3 linked regions of the Struthio camelus genome follow. The main gene of each other region encodes a partner of the protein of the gene in region 3 in a complex. Links are inferred from orthologs where the notes say so. Each region holds a gene or a part of one and is shown on either strand. Other genes may lie near its edges.

Evidence for each region.
Region 1: the proteins of F7 (region 3) and POGLUT1 are in contact, whole or in part, in a crystal structure (PDB 5L0S), measured with the Homo sapiens proteins. The link is inferred for Struthio camelus from reciprocal best matches to the Homo sapiens genes F7 and POGLUT1. Residues at the interface, in NP_000122.1 of Homo sapiens: Asp108, Gln109, Cys110, Ala111, Ser112, Ser113, Pro114, Cys115, Gln116, Asn117, Gly118, Gly119, Cys121, Gln126, Ser127, Tyr128, Arg139, Asn140; in NP_689518.1 of Homo sapiens: Met103, Phe104, Pro105, Ser106, Arg107, Arg132, Asp133, Pro171, Ala172, Trp174, Pro178, Thr179, Thr214, Asn239, Gln240, Ala241, Val274.
Region 2: the proteins of F7 (region 3) and F3 are in contact, whole or in part, in a crystal structure (PDB 6R2W), measured with the Homo sapiens proteins. The link is inferred for Struthio camelus from reciprocal best matches to the Homo sapiens genes F7 and F3. Residues at the interface, in NP_000122.1 of Homo sapiens: Leu73, Lys78, Phe91, Arg96, Leu99, Phe100, Ser103, Ser120, Lys122, Gln124, Leu125, Ile129, Cys130, Phe131, Cys132, Leu133, Pro134, Phe136, Glu137, Gly138, Arg139, Lys145, Gln148, Ile150, Val152, Asn153, Glu154; in NP_001984.1 of Homo sapiens: Thr49, Asn50, Lys52, Ile54, Glu56, Trp77, Lys78, Ser79, Lys80, Phe82, Tyr83, Glu88, Asp90, Asp93, Gly141, Gln142, Thr144, Glu162, Arg163, Thr164, Leu165, Arg167, Phe172, Tyr188, Trp190, Lys191, Ser192, Ser194, Ser195, Gly196.

Annotation. Positions count from the first base shown.
Region 1 is NC_090942.1:106,512,682-106,523,753, forward strand, and holds the start of POGLUT1 (protein O-glucosyltransferase 1), read right to left. Parts: upstream 4,266-11,072; 5' UTR 4,234-4,265; coding exon 4,152-4,233; intron 3,012-4,151; coding exon 2,921-3,011; intron 167-2,920; coding exon 23-166; intron 1-22. UniProt on the Homo sapiens protein: Dual specificity glycosyltransferase that catalyzes the transfer of glucose and xylose from UDP-glucose and UDP-xylose, respectively, to a serine residue found in the consensus sequence of C-X-S-X-P-C.
Region 2 is NC_090949.1:18,033,608-18,043,607, reverse strand, and holds the start of F3 (tissue factor), read right to left. Parts: upstream 4,692-10,000; 5' UTR 4,247-4,691; coding exon 4,177-4,246; intron 2,903-4,176; coding exon 2,788-2,902; intron 649-2,787; coding exon 464-648; intron 91-463; coding exon 1-90. UniProt on the Homo sapiens protein: Initiates blood coagulation by forming a complex with circulating factor VII or VIIa. The [TF:VIIa] complex activates factors IX or X by specific limited proteolysis.
Region 3 is NC_090942.1:156,876,329-156,886,717, forward strand, and holds the start of F7 (coagulation factor VII), read right to left. Parts: upstream 5,230-10,389; 5' UTR 4,726-5,229; coding exon 4,656-4,725; intron 2,391-4,655; coding exon 2,230-2,390; intron 1,657-2,229; coding exon 1,632-1,656; intron 1,548-1,631; coding exon 1,434-1,547; intron 76-1,433; coding exon 1-75. UniProt on the Homo sapiens protein: Initiates the extrinsic pathway of blood coagulation. Serine protease that circulates in the blood in a zymogen form. Factor VII is converted to factor VIIa by factor Xa, factor XIIa, factor IXa, or thrombin by minor proteolysis.

The sequences.
Region 1 (11,072 bases), about 50 Mb from region 3:
GGATATTCTGCATGACTCTCACCTTGCAGGGAACATGCAGTCATGCTCACGATACAACTTGTTCTTAATGATTTGGTAGTGTGTTCCAAGCTTCCGGCTCACCACATTTGATATTATCTCCTTGGAAATGCCACCTTGAAAAGGAGCCAGGTCCTGCTTCCAGACGCTGAAACAGAGCAAATGTCAGCCACCATTAGGCACAGTAGGGAAGATGCTGCCTGTAAATTACTGCAGGAGAGGCTTCTAGCTAAAGTAAGCTCAGTGTAGCTTCCAGGAGCTCTGCTACATGCGGCATAATAGAGGATTTGATTTAACTCACCCAAAACAGCTGTTACTCAGAGACACAAAGGTCCTAGCTTTGCTCTCTGATGATCTATGCGCCATTTGCCTGAACAGAAAGCCCAATACAGGACTCTGAAGCTAAATTAACACAGACACTCCAGTTACTGCCCCAGAAGTACACACCCTGGCATGTTATGAGTAAAAGTCTTCAGCTCACAACCTTTGAGTCCTGCAGCTTGAGCTCTGGCCTTCCAGGAATGCCAGGCCACATCAGGACCAAAATCCTCATACAATACCATTTATATGGTATTGTATGGTATTTATAGACCATAAAAAAGAAGTCAAGAGTCTAGTCCCAAAAAGCAGCATCCTCCAATCATGCTGTGTGCAGTGAAAGCCAGTCCAGAAGACCAGGCCTAAGGAGAGTATGCTCTGTGACATCTGTACATCACCAGTGAGCTCCAGGAATGAGGTATGAAAACATAAACCTAATATGAAAATATAAACCAAACCTAACCTAAACCTAATGTAATGAAAGACAGGAGAAGGAGGATGCAGTTTATGTAAATTTAGTCTAAAGGTGCTCAGATCTAATTGCTTGGAACAGTTATGAAAACTGACAGATTAAAAGAGCCATGGAGAATTCCTCCCTACTTTTTGGCATTGAAGCCTTGGTTTAATACAACACTACACAGATTTATCAGGTATAAAATTGTAAAACTACTTTAAAAAATTGCTGCATAACAGATGGGCCATCCACAGGAAGAGCTGTCGGGCAAGGATGGAAACGTAATGTGCTTGAAAACAGGAGGAAAGCAAGAGAGCTTCATGGCACAACCATGTCGCGTTAATCTAGGTCACTACCTTCCAGTCGTCACTAACAAGTTCGGACCTTCAGTCGTTGGCCACTGACTGGCACAAAACCAGACACAAGTAGAATCTACTACATGTGGAAAAGTACGGCTTTCAGTGTTCTGCAGCACATTTAAAGATCTCCAAATCAGCTAACAAAATTAACTGAGTTTTAGTGTTACACAGTGTACATGCTATATAATTTTTCTTGCTTCTTTTATAATGCCTGTCACTACAGAATACAACCCTTAAATGAACTACACTAGGTTTGGAGCCCACAGCAACTGTAACTTCCTGTTACTATCAATTATCATGTTCTGAAGCAAGTTTGGGTACAACCCCTTCCCAGATGGTTACAACCTCCAAAGGTGGGCAGGAGATGACAGCATATATGTTTAAAGCTGAGGAGATATCTTCAAGTTATATCAGAATTGGAACTGAGCAAAAAGACTGGAAGACTAAACTGAAAGAGACTTTTCCTCACCAGTATTTCAGTGAAGATCAAAAGCTCCAAACACAGTGTACAGACAGCTGCCTAATAAGACTCACTTGATATTAAAAGCCAATATAGCACCCAATCTCATCCCTAAAATAAATGATACAGCTGATACTTTTTTAAATAGGAGACTTATTAAAGCTGGGCATCTGTGTTTGGAAACCTGATCCCAAAGACAGAAGAATTAGGATTTCGACTCTTTCCTGTACTCCGTCTCCCCCTTTAAATAAAAAAAGCTGCTTAGAGGGGTGTGTGTGTGTGTATGTATATATATATATATATATATATAAAAATAAAAAAAGCAAAAAAACCCCCCAAAAAACAAAAACCAGTCCTACAGCCCCTACCCACACAGCAGTTATGGCTTAGGCATCTGTAATGTAAGTTCTCCATACTGAAGTCATGCTCAGTCAGTAGAAACAGATGTGAAGTTTGGTCTGGCTAGGTCTACAAGGCAGCTTAGCCTACCCTTGTACTACCTGCAAACGTCTTGCATTCACATACGAAAGGTCCTAGCTCTCTCCATTAAATTCACTATGGGAAGATCAGGCCGACATTTAAAGTGCTAGCACTCCGCATAATGCTCCGCAATTACAAATAGGCAGTAGAAGCTCCTGAACGAGCTCCTCCTGGATCATGCTTTGCTCGTGTGAAAGTCAGGTAGTTAAATATCCACTGCCTCTCCAATTCTCACAGGCAGTGATTTAAACTCTCTCCAAACAGTGTTCCTCCAATTCTCTCCTCCCTTCTTCCACTGGAAGCCCTGTCCTGACACAGGCAGCACGCAAAGTACCAGGGAACAGCACAATATCAGACCAAAGGAATCTGTGTTCGCTAACAATCCTTCTTAATCTGGTTATTTTAAAATATTTTGCATGTTCCTGATCTCTTTCACTTCTAAAAGCTCAAGAGAAAGACTTGTTAGCAACATCCCATGGAGAGAGAAGGCAGAAGAGGATCATTAACACAGAAATATCACCAGCTGCGTGGACGGGTGTATTGTGTGATCATATGTAAGACGCTGACACAGTTTGCGTTGTTCAGTTGGACAACAAGAACAGTGATCTGTTTGCGCACGGACACACCTTCTCTTGGAAAGCTGGAAGCCAAACCGTTTCACACAGTACCATTAATAACCTCCTCCTCCTAAGCACTGTGACCTATGATGGCTGCAGGTGTGACACTTTAGAGCCCAAATATTCCATAGCTAATTCCCACCCATCAGTGCCAGAATGAGTATTCCCTCTCAGGGGCAGGGGCCTGTCCAGGAAAAGGAAACCAGTTTCTCACCTTTGGTGACAGCTGCAATTCTCCTTCACACATGGCTTATAGACCTCCAAAGCTTTGTTAATTTGGTCAGTTATTGTTTTCCATTTGGCATCTAAAATATACAGGAAAAGAAAGGTCAAAGGAATTTATCCATTAAACTCCGAGAGCAACTACTGGGAGCTGAACAGGATTTCTGGTCCAGCTGATATCACGGCAATCGCAATGCACCATGATCCCACAGCACACTTCAGTACTTTCCATGCAGCTGAACTAGAGCGTGCCTGACACAGAACGTGCTCTGTCCACCTCAAGAGATGGGAAGAAGCTGAACCTCTACTCACTCATTCAGCCATTCAAACCCTGACTGCTCCACCGACACAATCCTCAATTAGGTGTCAGTGATTCTTTCTTTTGCTGAGTCCAGACTGCAAAACCAAACTCAACTCCCGGAATAAGCATTAGACACCTATGACTATTAAAGTGGCTTAGCTGCATTCGTCTCTGTAATTATAAGGAATTGGTGCACATCCCCCCTCGTATGTTATACGTGATTTTCTCTCCAGAAGAAGGAAATAAAGGCAGAGAGTAAGGCAAATTCTAATTCTTCCAGCTCACAGAGATCAACGGTCAGACTCTTTTGCTTTCCTTCCTCAGCTACGCACCTGTGAGGGGCACACATACCTTGCTAGTTCTACCAGTGTTAACAAAGGGCACAGAATCGTCTCCGGAAGTGATATCCTTAACCCTAGTTAAGGTTAGCCGCAGTCCCTCAAAGCACACGGAGGGAAGAAGCCGCCACACGCGAGGATACCAGCCCGGCTGCACCCAGTTGGGGCCACCCAGCTGACGGGTGCGGGCTCGGCCGGCGATGGGGCAGCGCACCGAGCACCGCACCCTGGCACCCTGGGGGCAGCCTCGCTATAAAAGGGAACCTGGCGCAGGCAGCCTCTCCCCCCACGGCGGGGTAGGGGCCGGGAGGCTGCCCGGGGCCGGAGAGGGGGCGCCTCAGCCCCGGCGAGCGGCGGGAGGGAGGCAGGGAAGGGCGAGGGTCGTCGGCACAGGCGGCTGAGGTAGAGAGGTAAGAGACGGGGGTAGGGCGGGCCCTGAGCCCCGCCGGCTCCCTCCCCCCGGGGGGACCGCGCCGTTAGGCTAACGGTTAACGGCTAAAGGCCGGCGGCCGCTCCCCCACCCCAGCAGCAGCGTATTCGGGAGACGCGCGGGGCCCCCGAGGCGTCCCCCGCCGCTCGCTCACCTGCCGGGCCGCCCGCCGCGGCCACCGGCCGCCACACGGCAGCCGCCGCCAGCGCCCACAGGGCCACCGCCGCCCGCCCCATGCCGCCGCCGCCAGCACCGCCCTGCGCCTGCGCGTCCCGCCGCCGCGGTGGGCGGCGCGCCCCAACCAAAGATGGCGGCCGCCCCGCACAAAGATGGCGGCGCTGCCGTGGCCGGGGGGGGCGCGAAGCATGCCGCAGGGGCTCGTGGGAGCTGTAGTTCCTGCGGCGGCGCGGCCCCTTTGCCCCGCGGGGCTGGTGTCGGGGGGGCTCCTGCCGGGGGCAGCCCGTCCCCGGAGCGCCCACGCAAAGCCGGGCCGTGGCAGCGGGGCGCTGCGGCCGGCCGGCCGGCCAGCCCCGCAGGGTGGCTGTGGTGGGGCGTGGGGCCCCTCTGGGCTTCGTCTGCTGTGCCATCGCCAGCTGCGCTGCCCTCGGTGTAGCCCCCACGGGGCTTTTTCTGGGAGAAGTCGAGCTGCGAAACTACTATTTTTTTTAACGTCCTGAAATAAAGGCATGAGCACTGGGGACCTGGCAGGGAGACTGTGACCAGGACAGTGGTTTCCCCAGGGGGAGGTTATCCATTGCAGAGCGGCTGTGCCGACACCTGCGACTGCCCCGCCTGTGGGAAACTCGACTGTTATTTACAGTAGTTGGGAGCTGAGTGCTGAAAGAAAGAGCCAAAAAAAGAGATGCCTAGAGAAGAGCAGAGCATGTATTTCTGACACTTCCTCTAAAGACTCTCCTAGCTTTAGCCATTTTCAGCTTGGGAAATTCCTGAGCTGTATATGGTTGCTATGTATCTAGCAGCCCTCGGTGGATTTGGGAGCTTTTTGGAACTGCCCTGGACACCCGAAATCATCCAAAAACGCTTCTTCCAAAGTGTAAGCAAAAGGCTCCTTCTCTTATCTCTACTTGAGGGGAAGATTGGGGGAGGAACCTCTCAACTGAAGAGCATGGAGGTGGGTTTTACCACAGATCAGGTCTGGGGAGAGTGTTTTGTCAGCCATCTTTACTAGCACCCATTGTCTGGTACTTCCAGGCTTATTTTGACCAAAGAGTAAAATTTGCCTTCTTTCCTCGGTGTGTGTTAGCCTGCCTACAAGAGTTGCAGAGAGGTACCCAAAAGCAAGAATCCACCATCTTGCTTGCTACTACCAAGGCCTGACTCAATTTAATCACTTGGGATTAAGTCATGAATCTTATGGTGTAAAAGTTCAGGTTCACTTGTGTAAACTTTCCTGCAACTTCAGGAATGTGGGCTTTGGGCAGGGGGGAAAGAAATACTAGAACTGAGAATTGGCGATATCAGCGTTGCAAAAGCCATCAATGTAATATGTGTAGGACCGTCTCCTTCCAAAATGATTTCTAAGAATACAGTTAATGTTTGGGTCAGCTCAGCCTGTCTTCAGGAGACAGGCTCATTAACAAAGCCCTGGATGTAATAGCCATACTGATCAGCAGCCAAGTAAGGTAGGTAAGAGGGGCAGGGGCTATGCAGGCACTATTCTATCTGGCACATAAATCCAGATCATTTGATCAACATTTTCTCCCTAGGTTGAGTCTGGGATGGACCATCCCTCTTCCTGGGGTCTGCGTGTTCAAATGCGAACACCAAACCTTCATCTTTCCTAGCCCAGATCCATGTTAAGGCATTTCGGATCCTAAGAGGAGGCTCAGTGGTTGCTCACTAATAGGAGGCAGCCTGTTTGCAGGCTTTACACCAAGTTTGCACCTGTATGTAGCAGGAAGGCTGAAGGATTAGCCACACAAACCACCAATGAAATTTGTCACAAAGGCCTCTTGTGTGAGACTGAATGGATTCTATAGGTATCTGTAGGTTTGGGTGGAGAAACTGTTACCAGAAAACAGGCCAAAGAGGAAAAGTATATGCTGAGAAAGTATGAAAGTTTTCTGAAGACTGGTAAGTTCTGGGCATTAGTAGTTCTGCTGAATCTGCAAAAGCTTGATAACTTAGGGCACCAAGTATCTGCTGAATCTGTGCAAGGCCACAAGCAAACGCTAGTGTCAACAGTGGGCTGTGTGATTAGAGGGCAGGGGTTTCTGTATGCAAACAAAGACTACATGATTATATATGCATCTCTTGAAATAAATGAGTTTGAGGGACTTTCCCAACACCTACCTAAAAGCTGCTAATGTGTCAGCGCTACCCACTACTGAGTATACATACAGCTGGGGTGGCCACTCAGCTGTTGCTCCAGCTGGGTAACTGAGTGAACTATGTGAGTAAGTGAATGTGTTGTGGGTATAGTTGTCTGCTACTAGTAGTAACAGCTTCCTACAGTGAAAATCTGGAGTATTTCTGTCTCACATTTCCATCCTAAACTTGTGTTGCATGGCCAAAGAATGTTTCAGCAAATCAGGAAATTAATCCCTTTCCAACTTCTGCTAGAATCCCTCTGTCGTCTTTTTGCTTTCTACTCAGGATCCAGTTTCTTCATCTTCTGCTGTCGCTTCTACAGTTCTAGTAGTAATGGGCTCAAAACCGGAGGCTCGTCTGAAGACTCTGCCAAAAGTATGAACCTTAAGGTAGGATCAAGCAGAAACGGCTGATATGTTGGATATGTTTGCTTGCCTCCAATGGTCTCGCTCAGCCCTACCTGTTTCTACAAATCTAATCCACCCATTATTTCTGGTACTATTTTCTGTCTTCCCCTTCAAGTTCCAGACCAGATTTTCCTGCTCTTTCCCTGCTCACCAAATAGACACATCAGTGTGCTGTCCAACACTGTTTCTGGTTGTTTCTCACAGCTTCCATGCTAGTCCGTTTACACAGTCAGCAGAACTGTAGTAGTTTGCTCAGTAGCAAAGGTTATTTTGGGTGCTTTCTCTGAGGCAAAGAGTAGGAGTGGTAGTTAGCATAAATGTTTAATAGAGCCTGAGAGCTAAGACTTTAAGATGAAGCTCCTTTTGAAGCTGCATTTACAGCCTTTGCTCTCCCAGGCTTTGTATAATGAAAGCACCCCAGGCCACTGTGGTGTGGTTTTGGAATGTGCTGTAGCTTCCCCCAAGCATCTTGGATGGCTGTAAGCTTCGAGCCCCTTGACTCTCACTTCAAACACACCCTTTGCCTCACCTTCTCTACCTGTTTAATTTCCTGCAAATCCAGAGCTCTGTGAAGGAGCATCTGGCTCTGATCTTTGATACCTTCCCTCAAACACTGTCCTTCTCATGTTTTTTCCTGCCAAATCAAGCACAAACACCCACAAACTGACTTTCATCGTGTTCCATCTGCCTAGAGTGGAAAATCACTTGGCTGCAAGTCTGGTGTCCTTGCTTTACATATCCAACGTAGGTTAGAAGGAGGGTGCTTGGGAAAGGGTTTGGTTCTCTAAGCTGCTTATAAGACTGAGCTAAAAAAAGTGTTTTACTTTCTAGATCTTGAGTTTCTCTCAAAGCTATAGTCTAGCTTTTCTGCTAGTTGCTACTGTCTGCTTGTGAGGGGGGGCTGGTGAGCTTTTTCCTCCCTTAAGCCACCCTCTGGTGCTAAACACACAAAGGAAGTCCTGAATTTTCTGAACTTGATGGTGATTTTTTTCTTAAGTCCCATTCTCTTCTCTCCAAGTGCTTTTGGGATGGCACAGTTTTACCAGGCTCCATAGCTCATTGGTTGAGACAAGTTCCATCATTGCCCCCTCTTGCTTCTTTTTCAGTGTGGACTTTTTGAATCTACCTTCCTCTTTCCTCCTGCGTTATCAAGATGGTGTGCTGTAAGAGCACATTGGAACTGGCTCTATTATATATTGGTCTATGCTGTATCTTGCAAGCAGTTAGCATGCAGATATCAAACAAAGCAGAGTTTTGTTTAATGCCTGGCACTCTGATTATACGGAATATGGACTAGGACAATATCCTGAGTGAAGGATGACTGCCCTACCTGCACTCAAGTTCTTCAGAAATATGGAGAACTAGGAAGGTTTAGGTGCAGATAAAAAAAAGTGCTAGCAAGAAGGGAAATATCCAGGCACTGTAAATAAAGCTTTCAGTAGTTGTGAGGCAGCCAGTGTGTAGCTTTTCATAGTTTTCATGCTTGATCATCTGTGGGGCTAGGCTGGTGCAGACAGTAGTCTCAAAGCCCAGCTGTGCAAGGGAGGAAGGAAGCTATACAGGCTGCTGAGGTTCAAAACTTGGCTGTCATTACCAGGGCTTCTTGGGGGTGTGCCCGGTCCCATAAGAAGCTGCATTGCTTCTAGAGAGACAAGACTATTTCTGTTTATAAACATGGAGCTTCTCTTCCCTTTGGGCTGTGAGATTTGTGTCCTGTAACTCTCAGCGCTGCGGAGGCGATGGACTGTGGCTAGTAAGTTCAGGAAAGTGGCCACATCTGCAGTACCTGGCTCGGGGTATTTGGTATTGAATATTCAGTTATTTTAAGCAAAGGAGGCTAATTGAGACTGTTAGAGCAACAACAGTGCTACATGAGAAGTGATTTGGAGTACCAGAATGACACCCAGAAAGAGGTAGGGTCATGAACTAACACTAGAAATCCAATCTTGCCGTTCTGTAGAGCTTGCAGAATTAATGGACTGAGAGAAAACAAGTCCAGGAGCATGCAGAGTTGACTCTTGATGAAGCCCCATCTGAGACTTCCCAGTGAAGGAAGTCATCCAGTTGATTGCGAGGATTTGAAGATGAGCAGGGCTCTGGCAGTGGGAACAGTAGAGGATCCAAGGGAAAAATGGAGCAAAGGACCTGTAGCTCAAACCTGAAGGTCCAAATCTGAGGACTTGTAGCTGATTTGTGTTCCTTCAGCATGCACCTCTGAGAGCTTGAGAGAAGATGCAAGAACTGCAGTGGTTTCATCCTTTGAGGAATTTGTATGTGCCAGGGGGTGGCTGTGCTCATGACAGCAGTGACTTGCAAAGAATTCTTTGTAATAGGAACACAGTGTAGCAGCCCACAGAAGGAAGGGGGACGCCTTTTTAGTGCAAACTGGGATTTATTAGTATGCATACAAAGATGGAGTCAGGAGTAATAATTCAAGTCTTCATATTAGTATTGCCAACGAGGGAACAGGCAACATCCACTGTTCTTTGAGAAGATCAGAAAATTTAGGACTTTGGTTTAGCACAAAAAGATGAATTAAGGGGGAAAAAAAGCCACCAATACCCCTGCACAAACCCCAGTGTAAGGAGAGATTTGTAATGGTGGAGCATGGGGGGAGCTGGCACATTCAGGAAGTATCAGGTCCTTAGGCTCATCAAGAGGATGTGTTCAGTACTGTAGCCATTTCCCTCTGCAGTTGCACCATAGGCACCAACATAAGCTAAAATTGAATATATTCCTATAGAAAAAGTCTTGGCCTTAGGCCATGGCTGCAAAGACTTTTTAAAATCTGTTTGAGAGGCCATATTAACTAAAACTGATTATAAATCACTTACTGCCGTAGCCAGTGGGGAGCTGGCAAACACCTTCCTGCAAATAGAATGTCTGTTTCTTTAGCTACAGTTGTATAACTTGCAAATTGAATGTGAACCTGAGAAAGATTTAGTAGTTGCAGGCACACTCTCTAGTGCCTTTGACAAAAATGCAGTGGAACAAAGTCCCAGGCTAGATTATGTATATGTCAATTGGGGAAAACAAAACAAAAAACCCAACTCTCAAATGAAATGCAGACTTTTATTGCTGGTGGTTTGCTGAGGATGAGACACTGCAGGATGTAATTAAGGCTCTAGTAGAAAATGATTTGCACAGCTTATTCTGTCCCTGTTTCAGTTTAAAGCTATTTAGATACCACTTCTTCGAGGCACGAAGAAAACTGATCCTTGAAGTGTTGCAGGAAAATAGTTTAAAGATGCGGAAAGTCATTTAGAGTCTGAAGGCAACGTGAGACATCTCTGCCTCCCTCAATAGTCAGAAAGAAATACAAGCGATGTTAAAGGGAAGAGTGTGTGCTGGTGGAAAACACTGACCCTCTAGAACAAGGGTAACTTAGGTTTACACTGGCTTGATGAAGGAGCCCTATGCTGCCATTTTCATATTCCTCTGGTGCCTTTATTGGAAAATACTATAACGTTATAAGGTTCAGGTCTTGCATCTACTGACAATGAATTTGATATACACGAAGTAATGCTCGTCAGTGTGCCACACTTTAGCTGGCACAGACAGTTAGCTGTATCGCAGTTAGCCCCATTGCCTATACCTTGCGTGCTGGTGGAAAGTGGTGTCAGAACAGTGCCAGAAGGGGGGCAGTGCCAGTCTGTTACACTTTCAGCACTGCTCAGATGCAGTAGATCGTTGTCTGTGCTAGCAGAAACGGGTATCATAACCTGTGGGGGTTTGCCAACGTAAGTAAACAGAAAAAGGTGAACAAAAACTAAGTATGATTTTTTGGAATCTAGGATTGGCAGTGTTTCACAAATGATATATATGCGTAGCAACACTAAGAAACAACAATTACTGCCAAGCTGTGCTCTGTGGTGGCTTTATGATCATGTGAAGTGGTTGCTGTAGACAGTGCATGCTGTGGAAAAAAGATATCTTCCAAATCCTGAAGGGCAGACAGAAAAAGCACAAATTTCTGCCTTTCACTGTGAAGGTCTCAGGTGATAGCTACAGCAGGTTGAGGCGGCTGTACCCTAGACAGACACACAGCTGGAACTAATAGACTTTCTGCTAAGTAACCATGGGAAGGGCTTTTCAGAGGACACAGGTGACAGCACAGGATGTCTGAGACAACATTTATTAGAGCAGACAGCTTGCATATAGTTGACATTGTTGGCTCTAAGGGTGTAGCTAAACGTGGCTTCCCAGGGAAGCTCTAGGGACCTGTACATTTTTCACAGGAGGTGCTAGTTGTGCAGAAGTTCATGTGAACAACCAACCCTGATCAGCTACACCTCAGACAGAGAATAATGCAAAGCTCTTCAGGTTCTTGGCCCAAA
Region 2 (10,000 bases), on a different chromosome or scaffold from region 3:
ATGTATATGGTGTAAGTGGATCTTTGAACACAATGTTCAATTTGGAATCTTTTTGTGTATAATTCTGGATCTCTGGTTTTCCAAGAATAGCTAGAAAAGGATTTTTAAAAATTAAAAAACTGGCATCATCTTTTCTATACAATATATTTTTTTCTCTTCTTCCCTCCACTCCCCTTCCCTCCTCTATTATAAGTTTGCAGAGTCAAAGTAGTACAGTGAAATGAAAGATTATTAACAAATATTTTTATCTAGACGTGAGAGGACAAATGATGCAGTCCCCTGCAATGCAGTCCCCTGCAATGGGAAAAGTGTCATGCTTGTAGATCTTATTCTTAGATACTAGTAGTGCTACTATAAGAACCTATAGAAAAAATCTTTAGGCCCAATCCAAACCTTGTTTAAATCAATGAAAATCTTCTTGAGATAAAGCTTATGATAAAATTAAATTGGCAATCCTACTTACTCTGATTATAAGGAGTGAATTTTTCAGAGACTGCAAAAGGTGGTTCTTCAAAGTTATCCATCCTCGAGGATGTTACAGACAGTATATGTGCTGTATAGGTCTCTCTTACATTCCTGAGCACATCAGTAACATCACACTCTGTTTCTGCTGTCAGAATACATTTTTTTTGTGTATTAGATGTCTGTCTGAAAAGAGTAAGAAGTGTCAACACTTTCTAAGCAGATTTAAAAAAAACTATTCATATACGTTAAAATACTATTCCCCCTCCTCAAAGTATACAGATTTCCCTCACTCAGTGCAACATTCTTATAGGTGTACTAGTCTGAAATAGATAAGGTAAAAACCCAAAAACACTACCCTGTAACAAGTATATTTCAAGTTTAAATTGGAAGCAAGTGAATCAAATATGAGTCACACTATGCATTATATAAAGAAGACGTTATTGGAGACATGTATGAATTAAAAATGATAGAAAGCCATCAGTAGTTTGGATTTTGGCTTTGGCTTTTTCTGAAGTTGACTTACAATAAAAATATAAGGGAACTTAGATACATAAATCACTTTGACAGTTTTATCCTTGATCAATGATGCATACGAAAACTATTGCCTAAAGAAACGTCAGTTATCCTAGGTAGCTCTGCTCACATGAATGTTAATTGTTTAATCTAATGACAACGACTCCTCATATTTCACTTGTATTCGTATCTGTGTAGATATAAATGTTACTGAGAATAAAAAGCAATACAAAAAATAAAAAACGTGACTCATGGACTTCTCTTGATTTTTAAATGATAAAGGGCAGGGTCATTTACTTGAGAAATAATAACTACACTTGGAAAAAAAATGTTAGCACCCCACTTTGCTTCCTAATAAATGGAAATAGAAAAGTAGATCTGATATTACTGCTTCAGTTCTTTTCCCAGTCTTTGCTGGTGAACTAAGAACAAAAAAAGATTTAGTGAACTCAGATGAAAGATCAAGAGTGTTGAGTGTTTGGAAGTTAACAAACAAATTTTCCTCAAAGTAGGTTAAGGTCTGGCAAGCAAGAGTTTTATTCAAGAGTTGCCTGAACTCCCTTCCTGCTTCACCAGATTTCATATGATGTAACAAATCTGTGAGTTTCAGTGGTCTGCGGATGCTTTGAGAAGGGACAGAAGAGATTTGATGTTTATAACAAAACAAACATACTCTTTTAAATGTACATATATATCAGAAAGCACAAATTGAAATGTACTTAAGACAATCCTGTCTAAAGAAGTTCCTCAGTATCAGAACTGTACCTGATTCTATACTGAATTTTGGGCAAACAGGCTTCATTTTTTTGCAAGCACAAACAGCAGGAAAGAAACTCCAGGTTCACAAGCAGTTCACTTGGCAGACTGCTGGATAAGGTTCTGTGCCCATGAGAAACCTTTTTGTAGGATCAAGCTCTTAAGCTATGTTGTGCCATTCTGCTCAAGCATGTGCTTTAAAGTCTATTCATTTAATCACTCTTTTCAGAATAAAGGGTAAAAGAGGGCATTGGACCGTTGCACATTCATTTATTAGTCATGAGAGAACTCTCATTTGTAGACAACTTTTATAGACAAAAGTGGCTACAGTACCATGTTTTCATTACTGTGTAGGAGAGTTGATGCAGTTTCTCTTCAGGGCATGTTTAATAATGGTCTGTGAATTAATAGGTGAGCTAAGTACCGCACAGATTTATTACTGAACTTCACTGAAGTTTTAAAAGAAATGTTAGACACTTCATATAGGCTGGCTGTTTTTTATGGTCTGCAGTATTTTATAACCTCTATAATCATGACAACAGACAATGCTTTGATAGAGCTAGACAAACAAAGGTCATTTTTAGTATTACCCAGCATTTCATTGATGGTGATTCACTGATTAGTATAAAATTCAGACTCATTTATCAGACACCTCCCAAGATTAAAGAAAGAACAAAGACCCCATCCAGACAGCTTGAAAGACATAAAAAGGTGACGTTCTATCAAGTATATGTTGCATGGTCTAAAGTCAACTGCCTCAATGTACCCTGGCCCAGATCTCCCGCCCAGTTGGCCTGCACCGAACCCCAGAACTGAAATACTGATCTAAAGCTGAACTACCCATTTCTGAAGTGGATGAAACCAGAATCATGAATCAGATATTCCTACAGTTGGGTATGAAGAAGGTATAACTATTGGGTAGGCAGTTTTCCCAAAATCCTCATTTTTGGGCTATTTTCCTGTTATGCTCACTCTCAAAAATATTCAGACACTCACTATCTGCATCTTCTTCAATTGTCATTAACGTACACAACTTTGATGTTATCTACTTACCCATGTATTTCTACTGTGTAGGAATAATTAGATGGTTTTGGTTGCCACCGTAGTATTGTTTTAAAGTTGATCGAAGACCAAGTTATATTAACTGCTGTTGGTAGATCTTTACTGCCTTTAAATATAGAAAAGAGCACCATTAGTCACACTATATGCAACTCCCGGCCCCCTGCATTTGCCGTTCACTTAAAAGAAGCTGTTGTTGCTAATTGCTGCTTGAAGGTCTTGGGGAAAAGGGTTGGTCCTGCCCTCCGGGCTCATGCTTGTCTTACTAAATCCTGGCAAAAGTGAGAAATATGAAACATGAGTGGAGTTCTGCCTAATGCTTCTTTCTACTTTTTGATACAAGACCTTTTAAGATGCTACAAAAGCTTGAAGATATTCATGGGAATGTCAAAGCACTAAAACAAATGGAGTATAGTTCAAATTCATTCCTACTTGTAGAAACCATTAACTGCTAGTTTCCCTATTTATTTTAGGAAGATAAATTCTTAAAAAACCCAGTAGTTGCCCTACACGCTTATATCTGAGAAGGGCTACCACAGAATTTAGTTGTAGCCTGGGCAAAGGGGAAGAAAGGCAGAGGCACCCTGCACGCCCGCAGCGGTGGCTCTGGCGACACGCGCTCTGGGAACTGCGAGGGAAGAACCACAGGGGAAAACCCCACACCGCAGGGAAGGGCCACAGCGTCTGCGGCCTCTGAACATTAAGGATTTCCCTTGGTGATATCCTAATTATTTTCTAAATACAGCCTTCTCTGCTCCTTCTACAAGCTGGAAACTGGAGACAAAAGAAATGGAGCAATTTACTCCCTATTACTGGTGTTCAGCAACCGACCTATGAAATGCCCCTTCTTTGCCCCCAACGCCTCCCCAGCTATGAAAATAAAGGAGCCTCTTCAGGAAAAAAAAAAAAAGAAGAAGAAGAAATAAAAAAAAAAAAGAAAAAAATCCCAACCTTTAGTGACCCAAGCGCTCCACCGCCACTCGGGTGCTGAAGCATAACCGGTGGAGAGCCGGGGTCCCCCGGCAGGAGCCGTTACCCTGCGCAGACCCCCCGCGCGGCACAGCCCGCGCGCGCCGGAGCCTCTGACCTCCCCCCGCGCGGCACAGCCCGCGCGCGCCGGAGCCGCAGACACCCCCCGCGCGGCACAGCCCGCGCGCGCCGGAGCCGCAGACACCCCCCGCGCGGCACAGCCCGCGCGCGCCGGAGCCGCAGACACCCCCCGCGCGGCACAGCCCGCGCGCGCCGGAGCCGCAGACACCCCCCGCGCGGCACAGCCCGCGCGCGCCGGAGCCGTCGCCCCCGGCCCCTCCGCCGGCGCGGCTCTGCCCGGGCGCTGCCCTCGCCCGCGGCGCCCCCGGGCCGCGGCCCCCCTCCGTTACCCACCGGCGGCGGCCAGGCGCCCCAGCAGGGCGCACAGCAGCAGAACCCGGCCTGCGGCGGGGGCGCGCAGCATCCTCGGCGGAGCGGGTCGGCGAAGCGCGGCAAAGTTGATCGCGGTGAGCTGCCGACGGGGCGGGAGGCGCTGCCTTATATGAGCGGGCGGAGAGGCGGGGATTGCGGGCGCCTCGCCCGCGGGCGCCGCGGCGAGACGGGCGGTGGGAGCGGAGGAGGCTCGGACGGGGTTACGGGGAAAGAGAGCGGGCCTGGCGGAAGTGCTCCGACGTAGCCGCGTTGAGCAAGCGGAGAAGAGGGGATGTGCGGGGAAGCTGGCCTTCCTGTAACGAGAGGAGCCCCGAGGGAAGGGGCGGCAGGTCCCCGGCAGGAGCACAGGGAGAGGTCGCCTCCAGTCCTGCCACTGTCACGCCGGCACGGTGCCCAGTACCAGCGTCCACTCGGATGCGCCTGCAGTGCCTAGAATGCTCTCCTGCCTTCTCAGTGTCGCCATACACTTGTACCACACCTCATTCACCCTCCCTTGGCCGTAGGCTGAACTACTGGTGAAAGCGGGCAGCACTCAAGGACCAGCTTCAACCACTACACAGCTTTGGCTGGCTGTCAAGGGCAAGAGATTAACACCTCTTGGTGTTACCACGGCCCCTGCTTGGAAATGATGGCTCTGGAGGGCAGGTGATCCTGGGGAAGTGATGTCTGGTTAATTAACTTAGACTCTGTGAGTTCTGGAGGGTTAGATATGTATGTCAGTTCCTATCTCACCACATGAGCCATCGGATATGACCGTTCAGCCAGCTCAAATCCTTGGTTCTCTCACTCCCTATGCACGTGTATGCGAACCCTGTCGAGGTTCCCTTGTACTACCAGACAGCAAATAACCTCCAAGCGTTCAGAGATTTGTACTTCATCTTCCCCATAAATCAAGGACCTGTTAACCATTTTCTTATAAACTAACATTGGAAATGTGTGTCATTCGCACAGGTAACAGGCTCTGTCTCCGACAGCAGGTTTTTCAAATCTCAGCCTGCAGCCTTTGCCACGTGCTCCCTGTCCTCTCTTGTATATATGTTGCTCTTTCCCCTGATACCAGCTGTCTGAGGCTGGATTAAGCACTTAAACGCGGTTTTCAGAGGTGGGGGTTTGCTTGCTGTGTTTTCATCGAATACTCAAGCTGTAGAGGGAGCTATGTTCCACTCTTGGCTCCTGAGTCTTCTACAGGGAAGGTGGAAACATGCTACATAGTAGAACCTATTAAAAAAATGAAAGAGGATAGATACTTTTTGTAGTGTTAAGTTGAGTTTTCTCTTTATTTTGAAGCTGATCTTTACAGTGTCTCATACTTGAAAGATATAGGTAGGAGGAGAAGAGTAATGGGGAAGTTTCATATTTAACTGCCTTTTAATTTTCATGCTTGCTACATACTTAGATACAATCAGTTCTGCCTCATAATGTAACATAAATTATCTATGGACCAAACTACAGTTTCAACTGGAGTCTGCACTGGAATTCATATAGTATGTCTCTAGGTGCATCTAAACCCAGAATTTTAAATTATCAGCTTACCTTCATTGAAACCCAGCCACCATACACCTTCTGATTGTTCTGCCTTGTTTTTTTTCAAATTTTAGTGCTACCTCTATGCAGCTGTATGTCAGCATTACATCAGTCAAAAAACTCACGTGCTTTTAACTTTGTATGGGATGATTATCTTGTGTGACTAGATTTTCAAGATTGTGATCTCATACAATCACAGATTCCCAGAGGACTTTACAAGGAGAAAAGATACTCATTTGTTTAAAGAAGAGGCATTTATATAGTATTTTAAATCACCTTTAAGCTCTAATTCCAGTTAAATTTATCTGCAGTCATAAAGGATGGAAAGCAGGTCAGCTGTGGTTCCTAGTTTTTTTGGAGATGGTCTCATTGACCCCTTCTTATTCTATTTTCCTCACTCCTATTTCCTCCGTCATGCCCTCTCATGTCTGAGAGGTTCGCTGGCTGGGAACCTTCCAGACTCTACCCAGATTAACCAGCTTGACCAGTGTTACTTTATTCCAAATTCCAGCAAGATAGTCTGGTATTCGCTAACATCAGGCTTTCAGATGTGCTGTTCCGTGCTGTGGCATGAGGGAAGGAGGCCATCGGTTTACCAGAGCAGTGGGAAGCAGGGCCTGAGCAGAAGGATGTGCATGGATCAGCAGGAGGCAGGGAATCGTGTGGTTGGGGGCAATAGCGTAACTTTACCAAGCTAGTCATACTGAGAGAAGGAAGTCGAAGGGAAAATTTGAAAGCTGGGGTAGGGGGGAGATACAGGATGCCAAGGGGACAGGGAGGCTAGAGGTTGGGAGGGAAAAGAGCGAGTGACAAAGGAGGAAAGCACTGAGGTGAGGAACAGCTGCTGCTGCTGCCACCTCTGCTCTTTCTTCTCCTCTTTCACCAAGTCTTGGCGCAGATTTGACCAAAGGATGATTTGCACAGCGCTGCCTGACCCCAGGCACCAGTAGGGGTAGAGCAACCTGGCCTTGCCTGACATGGTCTGCTGCCTGTCAGGGCCTAGAGTCTCTGCTCAGCAACTAGGTGATCTCACTGTAACCTTCTAGGTCACATTTCCTGTCCACTTCAATGGTATTTCAATAGCACATTTAGGACAGAAAAATTTCCCACTATTTTAAAGATATTTTGCTAGATGCAGGCAAGCATTTTGCTGACTTAAGAGCTCTTGCAATTTTTCTAGAAATTCGGAATTTGACTTCTATGGTGAAATGTCAAGATGTAGATGTGTACATGTCTATAACTGATTTAGTCATCCTCTGCTCATTTTACAGTCAGCAGAGGAAAATTTCATTCCGAAAGTGAAATGCATATTTTCCTAGTATAGACATCTAAAGCAAATCATATTAATCTATTTACATACTGAAAAAAATGGGAGATTTCCATTGATGGAACCCAGGCTCTTACTGTACGTTTTCTGAATATGCAGTAAACAAACAAATGCGGGAGCGCAAGCTTGGCTGCATGCCCTGGGGTAGGGAGATGACCTTTCGCCCTCTATGTTCACCTCTGGCAAGTTCACACTGGAATCAAGGTTATTCACCATGGGGAAAGTTTCCCAGATGAGGAGCAGGCTCTGCAGATTCTCATTCTTTAATATGTATACCATTGAACCAACCTGCAGATGGGTTATTGGTCATTATATAATGTTTATCAAGGCCCTTTTAATCCACATAATGATTATGGGAAAGGTGAGGAGAGAAGGGAAACTAAACCTGTGAAACCCCTCTGTTTTGGAGAGATGCATATTTTTGTGTGTATCATATGATCTGCCAGGTCTGCTAAACTGGTTAGCTTAGAGATAGCTAAGCAATTTCCTCATAAGCTTTCTGTACTGTCATACATAGTTGTTGACACAGAAGTGGAGTGCCTCAAATAACATGAGTTACAGATCAGGTTCCTTATGCTCATAGTTATGCAATATTTTAAGTAAAATTTTATAACGCTTGCTAATGTTTTGAAATTTTGTAGTGTTATCGAACATCCATCATTCCATGCTAGCATTCAAGTCAGAAATATTGCCATGCCCAGTAGTGTAAATTTTACTCATGTGAGTAATGTCTGAAATCTCCAAGAGCTTTTTCCAAAATGAAATTGCTCATGATATTCACTCCTTTTGGTCTGCCTTTCACATCTCTTGGTTTTTAATGTATCTCAGTGAGCCATATTATTGGGTAAGAACTTATCATATGCAATTAATTGCATTAAGTAGATAAAATAAGAGGTTAGGGAGCAATCTCTGCTTGATGCCTGCTTCCAGAAATGTCTTAACATCTCTCTTGCAAGTATGTTGCATCAAACACAGTGATATAAAGGCATATATAAATACACAAAACACCACTGCCTTTTAAACATTGTTTGTGATCAGTACTATAATTAATATATTTGGTAACTAAATAGTTTTGTCAGGTATAACGTACCTGTATGTAGTGTCAGTAAATAGGCTGTGAAATTCAATAGCACTGTGTGTCCCTGGCATAGGTCTTGTTTTTTCTGTTTTTTTCAGTTCCAACTAACTTGCTAAAAGGAAAAGGCCCTTCAAAAGTCTTGCAGTATGTGCAAGTTGCATCAATACTTTCTGCCTTTGCATGTAAGTGCCTTAAAATTCTTAATTAATGCAGATTTATTATATCCTGTGAGTTGTATTATACCCATTTTGTATGTAGGGAGGACCCAACTTTTCTGTGGACTTACTGAAAGTCTGTGGTGAAGTCCGGAATGTATGAGGTATTGTTTTTATACCACAGTCTTGTACCATAATCACAGGATTATGCTTCCTTTTTTTATTAAGCAAAGAAAAACTTCTATCTGTTGAAATTCTCTAGTGAAGATAAAGGAAAACTATAGAAAATTCAATATTTAGATACTTACATAAATTTTCAGAAAGCTGAGTAATGGATGTGCACTAATGTTCTGCACCAAAGCATGGAGGGTGGGTATGAGAACTAACCTGTGAGTTGGTTAGTTACATGTAGCGGTCAAAAGTTAAACCTGTCTCTGAAAAATTCCACTGTGCACTCTGATTATTACTGACCAATTTTTATAACTGCTGAACAACTGCATTTTCTGATTGTCTGTAATTGTAACATGAATGGTAGGTTGTTGGCACATCACTGAACAGCAAGCCGGAAAAGTTAAAGAAATTACAGACATTATAGATTTAGAGCTTATCTAAAAATGGCTGTATTGACAAAGTGTGTATAGCAGTATTTATAATTGGGGAGTTTGGTGTAACACTGTAAAATTTGGTACCTAGTCCCCTTTTTTATGTACTGAAATAGAATCAGTGTAATTTTACTATCTCTCATGGAAAGCAATGTCATTAAATTAGTGTAAAGGAGTGAAGAATCAACCCTCATATCTAAGAGGAGAAGTAGTACTTATTCCTGAAGTCTCCACATCAATGGGATGAGTGACACTCCCTAGCTAGTGGGCAAGTAATACCAACTAGTAATAAATGTCATCAAAGTGTAGCAAAAACTATGGTTATAGAGAGAAATCCTAAATTGTATCAATTTCTTCTGTGCCTAGATGGTCTTGGTTAACCTAAACAAACTGTTGTAATGTTCCATGTATGTTTGACACTGTAATGCTGTCAGTCCCCTCTTTGTACCAGATCTTCCACCACAACAATGGAGTAGCCTCTTAGAGTAATTCCGTTACCTGAGAATGTCTTAATAACATGAGTTAATCTTGCAGTTCTTTGGAACATCCATCATAAACATTTTTTTCCAAATGATGACAGGCACTAGTGCAAATACCAGATCTTGTTTACTTATGTTTTCTTCCTATGCTTGTGTGTGACAGGAAGAGACACTCTTTGGTAAAGTTAGTGGTCCTAATCCCAGCTAGCTTGTTTTGTAAATTTAATCTCTGCTGACGTCAGTAGAGGTACTCCTATTTTATTTTAATATAAGTAGATCAGAATGAGGTTTAATGTTCTTCCTCATAAACCAGTACGTGTTCTTTATGCACTGGTCAAAAAAACTCAACTTTTTCCCCTGAAATTTATTTTGGGGCTGTTTTCTGAATATCAAGTGACTAAATTGAGAAAAATGCAACATAAATATTAAGTAAAAACAGAACCTGTTTAAAAGGAGGTTTGCACATTATTGGTGGCATCTTTTTTCATACTAAATGTGATCTCGGCTCATGACTTTTCTATGAAGCAATTGTAATAAATGAATCCTACCAGTTAGTTATTTTTAGCAACCAATAAAGGTTATGTCCTTTCCTCCTATAAATGTTTAACAAGGGTAATCTT
Region 3 (10,389 bases):
CAGACTGCTTGTCATCAGCACAGTACTGTTCACAGCCACCATTGTTGTAAATACACTTCATTTGGTCAGTCACAGCTAAATTCAGAGAAAGAATCTATGTTTCCGAGCATGGATTTCAGTGCTTAACACAAGTCAATTACAACTTGAACTGCTGACAAGGAAGCAAGGCAGTAAATCAGAGGTCAGTGACGTATGTACAGTGACCAGATCAGAAGCTGATTTTGTTTGGCAAAAGTTGTATAGAACTGGATCACCAGGGATTAAGGAGGAAAAGTCTATGCTTAAAAAACATGCACCTAAAAATAAATCAGTCTGCATTTATGCAGGATCTGAGCTACAGCAGTAGCCCTCTATGCTTCCTAAAGGATAGGAGTGTTGTCGATTAGGATTGTATGGCAAACATCCTAATACATAACTATGGAAAAATTACAACTATTTTGTATTTTTCTGTTTGGTACAAGGATGCTCTGGGAAGACCATTGAATAAATTACATGATAAGAAAACTTCTCTTTTGTGAAAGGAGTCAAAAAACCCTCCTCCCCTGCCCACAAATTTTGACACTTCAGCTACCTGAATGGCTAGGTGTGCATGGATGCTTTATAATAATTACTTACGCACTGCTAGGAGCCGCTCATGCCCTAGAGGCGGAAGTAGAAACAGTAGAAGGGAAAGTGTGGTGTAGTCCCTGCAGCAGAGATACCCACATGCATAACTGTGTTTTCAGAAGTTATTTGTAAAAAGAGAGGAGGCTCACACATTCTGCTCTAGTGATGGCGAGCATGAAAAACGCCTAGGAGACTGGTAGGTGGTAGAGAAGGCAGACGTGATCAGCTGAGCAGTATGAGGAGACTGCGAGAAGATACAAGGGCAGAGATGGCAGCTTGGCTTACGTTATAGGTGGCACACGACAGGTAACGAGCAGTCAGAGCTCTGAGACTGCCTGGTTTGAGTTGACAGGTGCCTAATCCTTGTTTGGGCTCCCCAACAAGGATTAAGTTGATGGCCAACTTAACAGTCAATATACAGCACCCATTGAAATCAATGAAAAGAATTATAATGACTGTATTAGACACTAATTAGACACTAGACATTCTCTGTCCCCTCTGACTTTGTATGATGGCTTATGCAGCATAGTCAAGTAACTTCCCACCCTTGGAAATTTGGATAGGAAGAGCAATCCTCCTTCTCTCTCTGGTGGTTCACAAAAGTCCAATTTTTTACAGGATCCCCATAAGGTAGCAATTATTTTGCTGCTATACAGTGCCTGACTGTCAGCTGGTTAGATCCATCATAAAACACTGCAGACAGTGTTAATGGCAGCTGTCAATGCTAGAATGATACAGATTATCAATGTTTGCTACTGCTTATCCCAATGACTTGCATGTGAATTAATAATGACATTTTTACTTCGTTAAGCTATGCCATAGCTGACCTTTTTCACAGTTTTTGCCCTCATATTCCTTGGGACAACGGCAAACATAATCCTGAAGCTGATCATCACAACTCCCACCGTTCTGACAGGGATTGGAGTCACACTGGTTAGGGTCTGTAAAAACGTTCAGCGTTAGTCCAGATCACATGAAGAATTGCAGCAGCGGGAGCATTTTTATAACATGTGGAATTCTCATACCAGAATAGATGTGCCAGAATTCTGTCTGGAAGAAAAAGATGCAAAATTGTATTAAAGAAAAAAATAATTCAGATTAAATCCGACAGCCCTTGTAACAGAGGACGCATTACAGACAGCCACAGTGCTGCCCCTTTTTGCCTTTATAATTTATTAAATGGGATGTCCATAAAATATTCTACCTCATTTTCCTCTACCAAGAGAGACAAGCACTGTGTAATATGCACAAGTAGGTTCCCCTTAATAATCTCCCTATGGTTAAGGTGAAAACAAACTTATGGCATAATACAAGTATTTAAGGTATTTTCAGGCCTGGAATTATTGCAGTGGGGGGGCAGGAAGATGACTTAGACTCTCCTTTCCCACCATCCCCCAAATTGGTACTGCCTGATGTGGTCCATGTCGTACGCCCTTCACACTGCTGCAGTGTGCCCCCCTAGGTACCTAAGACAAAGATCCAAACAGCAGGACACAGAGCGTTTTTTTTGCTTTCATGGTTTCAAGTGTCAAAGAACACTTAAAAGTATACCCTTGAATAATGGGGAATTTCCACCTAAAGTCCCTCTGACTGCGAGCGCTTACCCAGCACTGTGTTACTTACTGTCCTTTCATCGTCGTGGTAAATTTCTCTTGCTTCCTCAAACGAACACTTTTCTTCCATGCATTCTCGCTCTAGTGACCCCAGTTTTATCTCTTCAAAGAAGCTATTGGCTCTTCTTTGCCTTTGCAAAAGACTGGTTGCCTCTTCCTGCTTTAAAAAGACTGAAAAACAATGGCATGTTCTGTTTGCCATACATCCTCGGTGTCCAGAAAGGATGGACAGCATGAAAGGTTTCTTCTGAAAGCTTTTCTGCTTTCCAGGCTTTTTATGAGAAGTCTTAGAATTAGACATAGTGAGCAAATTTGCGCAACCTTTCAGAGCCACCACCTCCTTTCTCTGACGTGCCTCCCAGGTAAAGTGACAGCACGTGGATTTTGCAGAGCCCAGAGCTTAAGAGAAGTGTTACGTGTCAGCAGTACACAAAGTATTGGCACACATTATATAGTAGGTAGACAGGACAGAGTTTCTTTCGATTCTAGCAGCTGAACAGCGCATGTCATTTCATCTAGTGCTGACAGATGTGGTGACAGCTCATTCTCCTGTACTCACTACAGTAAGTCACTTGGTGCCAGATGTACCACAGTCAACCCTAACTCCCCAGTGCTCCATTCATCACTGGTTTTAGCTCCAAACCTTTCACTCTTTGGACCTGCAGAAGGGATTTTTCAGGCCGCTAGTAGGCCACAGTTTGAGAAGCACTGCTTTAATATAGTTATCTTTACTTTTCTTCTGAAAAAAAGACTACATCATGGTACATAGAAAGGCTGGACAATGCCCTTTGTGTTGCCTAGTGGAGCCTGCATAGGGCTCCTAACTGCTGCTAGCACCGTAGACCACAGCCACAGGGGTCTTATCCCTGTGAGTCTCTACCGTACTTCGAAAGGACATTGGGAACACAAGTTGTATGGCAGATGTCATCAGAGTTCACTTCACAGAGCTACTTCAGCTTCCAACGAATGTAAATGTGCATTTAAAGACCTGATAGCATTGACTCACCATGCTGACCTCCTCCTAAGCTTCAGGATATAATCATACCACCAACTATGCCCTCCTGGTATAATTCAGGATAATAAACAGTAAGACCCAGTGCTGCAGTGTATTTTTGCTCCATGCACTACACTGCATGAGTCTTGAAGTGATTAATTTTGCAGTGTGTTCCTCCGTGTCACTAGGCAGTTCTGAAGCTTACTGACAACAGTTTATATCTCAGCACTTGCAACTATTTCACCTGGGATTGTGGGTAGATTTGAGGATTAAGGATGATGCCCTTGCCTTTCCCCCAGGACATTCTCCACTATGTGACCCCTGAAAGAGAGGTAATTACCTCCTACCTCCTGGAAAGGCTTTGAGGTGGTCTCTGAAGGACAAGATAAAAAATCGGGGGTGCATGTGGATATGGACACTCATATCTATCCTCACATAAATACACACAAAAATAAACCCTGAGAGGATTTACTCCGGTCTGGTGACTTTGTTTCTACTCGTTAATCTCTAATCAGAACATTTGCTGAATTACATACAAAAACAGTAGTAGTTTTCCCTGTATTATGAAGTTATTTGAAGGAATAACTTGTTGTGTGGTGCATCTAATTTGTCACAGGATGCTTCATAAGAATTTGTCTATTGTAGGAATGTTGCTGTTGATTTTTGTCAGGTTGTAAGCTTTTAATTTGGCTTTCTTTAAAGGATTGTAATTGACCTTACGCTGCAAATACATTACATATGCATCAGTGTGCCTGCATGGACCCTAACGGGGGGATTTGCATATGTGCATGGCTTGTGACCTCCTCCCACCTTTATTTCTGTATTCTCCACTTATTTGCACTGGAACATTATAGACTTTTCTGTGATTTTTTTTTTCAGCTTTGTCTACTGCAATTCAAGAGGCCTTGTCAATGGCTAACTGGGCATCTTAAAGCACTTGGTCCCCTCTCTTAATCTGGGAGGTTATTTTCAGACATATACTGATGCTACTGAAAAGCTAATATCTCACTTCATTCTACTACTGTGGAAACATAGTGGAGCTTCACCCCTCTAGTTTCTCATCAGCTGAACGACAGACTGTTAAATCTCTGCTTTGAAAAATTCCGTAAAACAGGTGACCATAAAATAGCAATAGATCCAAATCCCTATTTTCACCTAGTGGGCAGACAGCTGATGGTTTACCTGCTGTCTGTGCAGTGAGAGACTAGATTCACATATGCGTGTAGAAGCGATTTTCCCCACTCGACAAAATAATCACATGGATGCCATCACTGAAAGCAAACAAGAGCCTTTAACTCACAGGCACAATGAGAGGCTGGGCAAACATTTGCGTATACTCTTTACTGAAGAGTGCTCAAAACTTACAATAAGAATTTCACCTCAAAAATGGAAGAGAGGTCCACTGCCAATAATCATAATTAGAGCCATATCCTATCACATACCTGCATCCAGAGAAAGAGGAATCAGGAGCGGGAAGCAGAGAAACAAAGCTGTGTACAGCCTGGAAACCATGATGACCCCTGCAAGTGTCCCAGTAATGTATTGACATTTCAGCAAGGACTGTTTAGCCAGAGAGCTCAGCTTCAGACGCTTCGCGCTAGAGGAGGGGCTGGCAAGTCATTACAACAGGAAAAGGTCCATTACAGTGATGACAGCAGAGAGAAGTGCGCATGCAAGTCCTGCAATGAGTCCTTTCCACACCAGCAAAGGGCTTGGTTTTGAAGCATTCTCTTCTGACCTGTGCAAAGTCTATGCTGATTACAAAGTCTTCTGTTGTGGGCCTTTATTTACTATCTAACATGATATTTGATGAGCAATATAAATTCCAAGGACTCTGCATCTGTCTGAATGGCACTAACTTGGCTACAGTGCCAGAGAAGCAGAGAGCAGAGAAATGAAGACACTAATCTTTAGCTTGAATTGGCACTGAATGCATAGCCTTTCTTTGCTTTGCAGAGTGGTCAAACTATTGACATCTGTCTTTTCCCATTTCACCAGCTGAAACTCTGAACTACTGGCTGAATTTACTTGGAGACACTAATTAACCAGCAAGAAATACCCTGCACTGCTTTGCTCTGTTTTTGCTGCAGGACCCACAGAGCTTGCACGAGTTCTACCAGCTGGAAGAGGTGCTGAACCCAATACACACTATATGTAATTAATAATAGTAGGGGTCTGAGGGGCCAATCTGCAGACAATATTTTATCTGGAAACTAAGCAGTCCTCTGATTGAATAGAAATCAATTAACGGCATGAGACTAGAGAGCTGACAACACTCTTAAGTAAATATTTACTTAAGATAACAGAGAGGTAAAGAGCATGTTTGCCTATGAGAAGTGAGGCATTCCCTAAGGGCTGGAGTATTTTCCAGGCAGTTCTCCACTTTGTAAGTGTAAAGGAAGGAGGGTCATTCTTGCACATGAACATTAGAGCCAAGAAAGCAACAGCTGTTTTTTTTACTTTGAGGCCAACGCTCAGCTTAACTTCCTGCAGAAGTCATGATTGATTAGGAAAGCTAGGGTCCCAGCCGTTCTTTGCATGTGTTCCTGTTATTTAGCGGCAGTGCGCACAGCTGGACATCCTGCTTTGAAATCTGTTTCCCAAGAGGGGGCATTCGGGCACTTCCCTGGATCGCAGCCTGGCTCATTCCCAGCAGCTCAGTTCCTGGGATTTTGGGGACTGGTGGCAGGTCCTGTCCCAGGGCAGAGGAAGGAAGCCGGTTACTAGAATACAAAAGGAGCTACAGCAGCCCATAGCGGTCCTCACCTCTGCTTTTGGGGAATGGCCTCCACACCTCATAGCTCGACGACATGGTCCTCATTCCCCTCTGCATCCAGCTCCAGCCACCATGGGGGTCAGAGAAGAGAAAATCACTGAAGGAAGGAAAACACAGGCTAAAAGACCTCTCGGAGACCTCTCTGTTTGCTAGGAATGTGGGCTGGTGGGTAAAGGAAGAGAAGGAAAGAGCAGACAAGGAGAGGAGCATGTGGAGATCATGGCGGCAGCAGTGCCGTGGGGAGTGCACTGGCTCTTATTGCCAGGCAGGGAAGAGCTTTGTGTCTAGGCAAAAGAGAGGAAGGGAGGAAAAAAATGGGACTGGACATGTGCCTGCACTGGGGCAGAAGGAAAAACTAAAGATACATTTACTCGAAAAGCTGAAGATATATTCCCTTGCCTGCAGCCATTAATGTAAAATAGTAAGTACATATTCAGCTTACAAAGAGCTAAGCTAAGTTTGTCGGAGCTGCTTGAAAACTTTTCTTTTTGTCTGCTCTTCTCGGGGAAAGATATCTCCTCTGTGTATATGAGCAAGCCTCTACCTACCAGTCGTGCAAATCAGAGTGCAAGGCCGTGCTTCTCGCACTTGATGCCACCCTGCCTTTTGTACCGATTGCCACTCGTAGCAGCATTTTCTTAGGCTGCTCCTTTAACTAGCCCTGCTGGAAATGATGGCACGTGCAGAAAAAGCTTCAAAGTTAGACATTATCACTGTGGAGCACCTAGAACATTTTTCAATACCACTTTTAGATCAGTGGCTAAATCTTTATGCCAGATTCCCAGAAAGGCATGGGTGGATATCTGCCAGTGCACTGCTGGAGAGACTGGAGTGGCTCCCACTCCACAGCGGCGTCAACACACCTCTGGCACCGCTTCACTTTTGTGTCTTCTTTCTTCATAGTTGGCAGGTTCTGTGCATCCTTTATGGCTGGTACAATATTGTCCTTCCTTCTTCCTCTTTTGGCACTGCTTAAGCCTGAAAGATTTTGCTTTTGCTGCTTGGGAATATAGAAAACCACTTTTGAATTATTTTTAGAGCCTAGGGGGAAGCCCAAGTGCTGGGAACAACAGTCAGCGTTCAGGTCATATGGCGACAGTCTTTCTTCCAAGAAAAATTCATATGATTAGATTTCATTAGGGATGACAAAGGTGACCAAGCCCATGAGGGGAGTCACTGGAAATTCAGCAGTCCCAGAACGTCAGCTCTTCTCTCAGTTACATTCACAGTAACATTAACTAACAATATTCACAGTTCTCTTTTCAAAACTGTTTCCTGCTAACTTCAGAGGGCCAGTTCTTTGGTTAGAGTCGTGTTACTTAAAGAAGAGCTCACCTCCCTTTTTGTCTTAGACCCCAGTTTGGGGGCCAAACTTAAGTTTGTTAGCTTTTCTTCCCCAGAGGATCCCTAAATCTCCCATTGATTGTGCGTGCGTGTATGTGCGTGAGTGCGGTCTTGCTGTAGTACATGAGAATTACCTTGGTATTCTGTGCTATGAATCTCCTTGATGCTGGAGGCTTCAGTCCTGGCTTACATTTTCTAAGCAAGTCCAAGAAAAATAATCTACCGTCCAACTAAAAGTGAAAATATATTAAAACAAACAAACACCCTTTCTGTTCATGGGTACTACTAGAATCAACCTAGTGTCAGCTGTTCCGGAACTATGACTTAGGGTGCTTTGTAGCATATGCTTTTTTGGATGTGTCAAAATTGCTTTATTTCCAAGTGGAGATTAAGCAAATAAACATCAAAAATGTTAACAAAGTGAAAAAAAAAGTCTAAAAGCAGAAACATTAGCCTGGAAGACATGATGAACTGGTGTCTCAGAACATACTGTTCTTTGTTCTTTTTTTGTTTCATACTGACATTTTCAAAGAAAAACTTACAGTTTTGCTATTTTTAGTTTGATATTTTAGGTTGAAGATAAGACAGATATGAAAGCTTCTGGGAACACTGCAACTTGATCTGCTTTACCAGGTCACTGGTTATTTAAATGCGACTTTTCTGGTCAGTTCTCAGTAACAATTTAGAAAACTATTCAATGAGTTCTATTTCAGAGAGACCATAAGAGATTGTTCGAGTAGACTGACATGACTGAGTCTAGGTAAGAAAAGTTAGGAAGAAGTTGCCTCATGAATTAATGGAAAAGTCAGCCTAAATCTCCAATAGCCTAACCTAAATCTCCAATAACAAGAGTAACCTGCCATCATTCATTTATGTGATGAATTAAGAAGAGCTTACCTTCTTTGTCCACAAACTAAACCTGTGATCAAATCAATCATTTCCTATTTCTGTGATACTAATTAAAAATATATATTACTAAACCTTGAAATAAATGATTTGCTTTTTAGACTTCAAAAGAGAAATATTCATTGCTAGGAGAAGATTACTCCACATGTCTGTTTTACTGAGTTCTGTATCCCTATTCAGCAATTATCCTCACAAAGTGAGAGTAGAAGATGGGGAGAGGATATTTTTGTGCATTTTTTTATGATCATCTCTGAATATAAATGTTTAAAACTTTTTTCTATTTTTTAATCTTTTTTTCCTCTTCTTTTGCTGCCAGAGAATATCTGCAGATACCCTGATAACAAAGGAAACAAAAAACATAGACAAGGCAGAGCAAAATACATTTGAAATAAAGGCAGCGTGCCCCCAAAGTTTGTCTGTTTAATGCCTCCTGTTGTAGTTGGTAATAAGAAATACTAGTTCTAATACATACAGACCTTTTCTTGACTATTTCCTGAGACGCAGCCACAACATTACCACTAGTAAATATGTAGTCTTTTGAATGCAGGTGAGGACCTTGCTGCCTTGTCAGTTTATATGAAATGAATAAATATAAAAACCTGAAAAATGATTCATTGATTCACTTCAACTGATTTGTCAAAGACAGTATTTCAGCACCAAACCAGCTAATCTTGGTTAAAGTCCTTCAGAACAGAAACACAAATCTTTAGCCTTGATTTTCTACCACCATCTGTAGGCTGCTGGTGGTACTGGTAGCGAGCTGCAAAGAAGCCTAGCAAACACCTTGTCACACCTCAGCTTTTCTTTTATGTAGGTCTCCTGCTGCTGTAGGGACTGAATTTCCATGGGGCAGCATTGCCTGTGTCCAAAGGGCTCTGAGCCGCAGAGCAGCTGGGGAGCATTCCTCCTGGTTTGCCTTTCCCCTGGCTGCTCTGGGGCTCTGGCCACAACTCGGCCTCTCGATTAGACAACCTGAGGGATCCTTCTGTTGCGCTGGAGAAGGAAACATTGCCAATTTGTCTTCTAGCCTGCTTTTTTATACACCGTGCTTCTTTTTGCCGAGGCTTTGTCTACACAACACACTGCCCCAAGATATTAAAAAGAAGACTGTAGCTTTGGCCGAGGACACGTCCCTGTGAATATCCCTTGGAGCTATCAAAATGGTTGGAGTCCATCAATATTTTGTCGTGTTTTTTTTTCCGTTTGTGTATGACTTGATATTTTGAGCTAACCACATGCAGCAGAGCATGAGCAGCCAAGGGAGGTCCTGGAGGACGAAGCAACTGTACCAGCATTTCTCCAGCTCCAGAAGAGCCTCCCCCCCCCCATGTCACATCTCATCGCCCTGCGCACCCCCTGCAGCTCCCCTGCTGCCTTTCGAGGGTGGCCCTTTACGGGACAGCACTGGCATTAAAGAGCCTGTCTGGCCCCAGGGCCACATTCTGGTCTCGGTTCCCATCAGTCCTGGGAGCTGCTGTGGTGGAAAACTGCCTGGGGAAGGGGGGAGATGATTGAGCTGCTCCTTGACCTGGTCACTGCAAGGCTGCCAGGGCACTAGTGCTAGCGAGGAAGCAGGATGGGAACTCGCTGCGTGGCTTACAGCAGCCTGGCAGCAGCTACACAGCAGCTACTTCAATCACTGACACGTAGCATTTTTCTTGTTAAAACACTTTTTGTGCCCTGTGTGCCTCACACCACTACACTCACCAGTCCCATGCCCTGCCTCAAAAAATAACCCTTCAGCTCTGTATTCTCTCTCTTTTCCACCTCGTGATCTTTGGCCACTGTGTTCCCCCCAATCTTCCCACAGCACTTTGCCAGCATGCCAGCCCTCGTAGTCTCTCGCCCCAGGCTGGTGCGAGGAGCAGCTGCTCTGGTGCCTGGCCAGCGTGCGACAGAGCCTCCTTCACCTCGGCAAGGCTGCAGTAAGGCGGATGCAGAACATCGGCGTTTACACATTTATCTATGTGACTTGCCTTTCGGCCTTGCAGAACAACAGCTCCAGTTAAACGAGTAAGAGCCATTAAGTAAATCAGCAGTCAACTTGGAAAATGGTACTGTTCATTTCCTTCAGTGTATTATTAGATATGTGCTCTTAGAAACAATCTAGCTCCTGTGGCAAACTCAGCCCACATGTATCAATTCAGCTG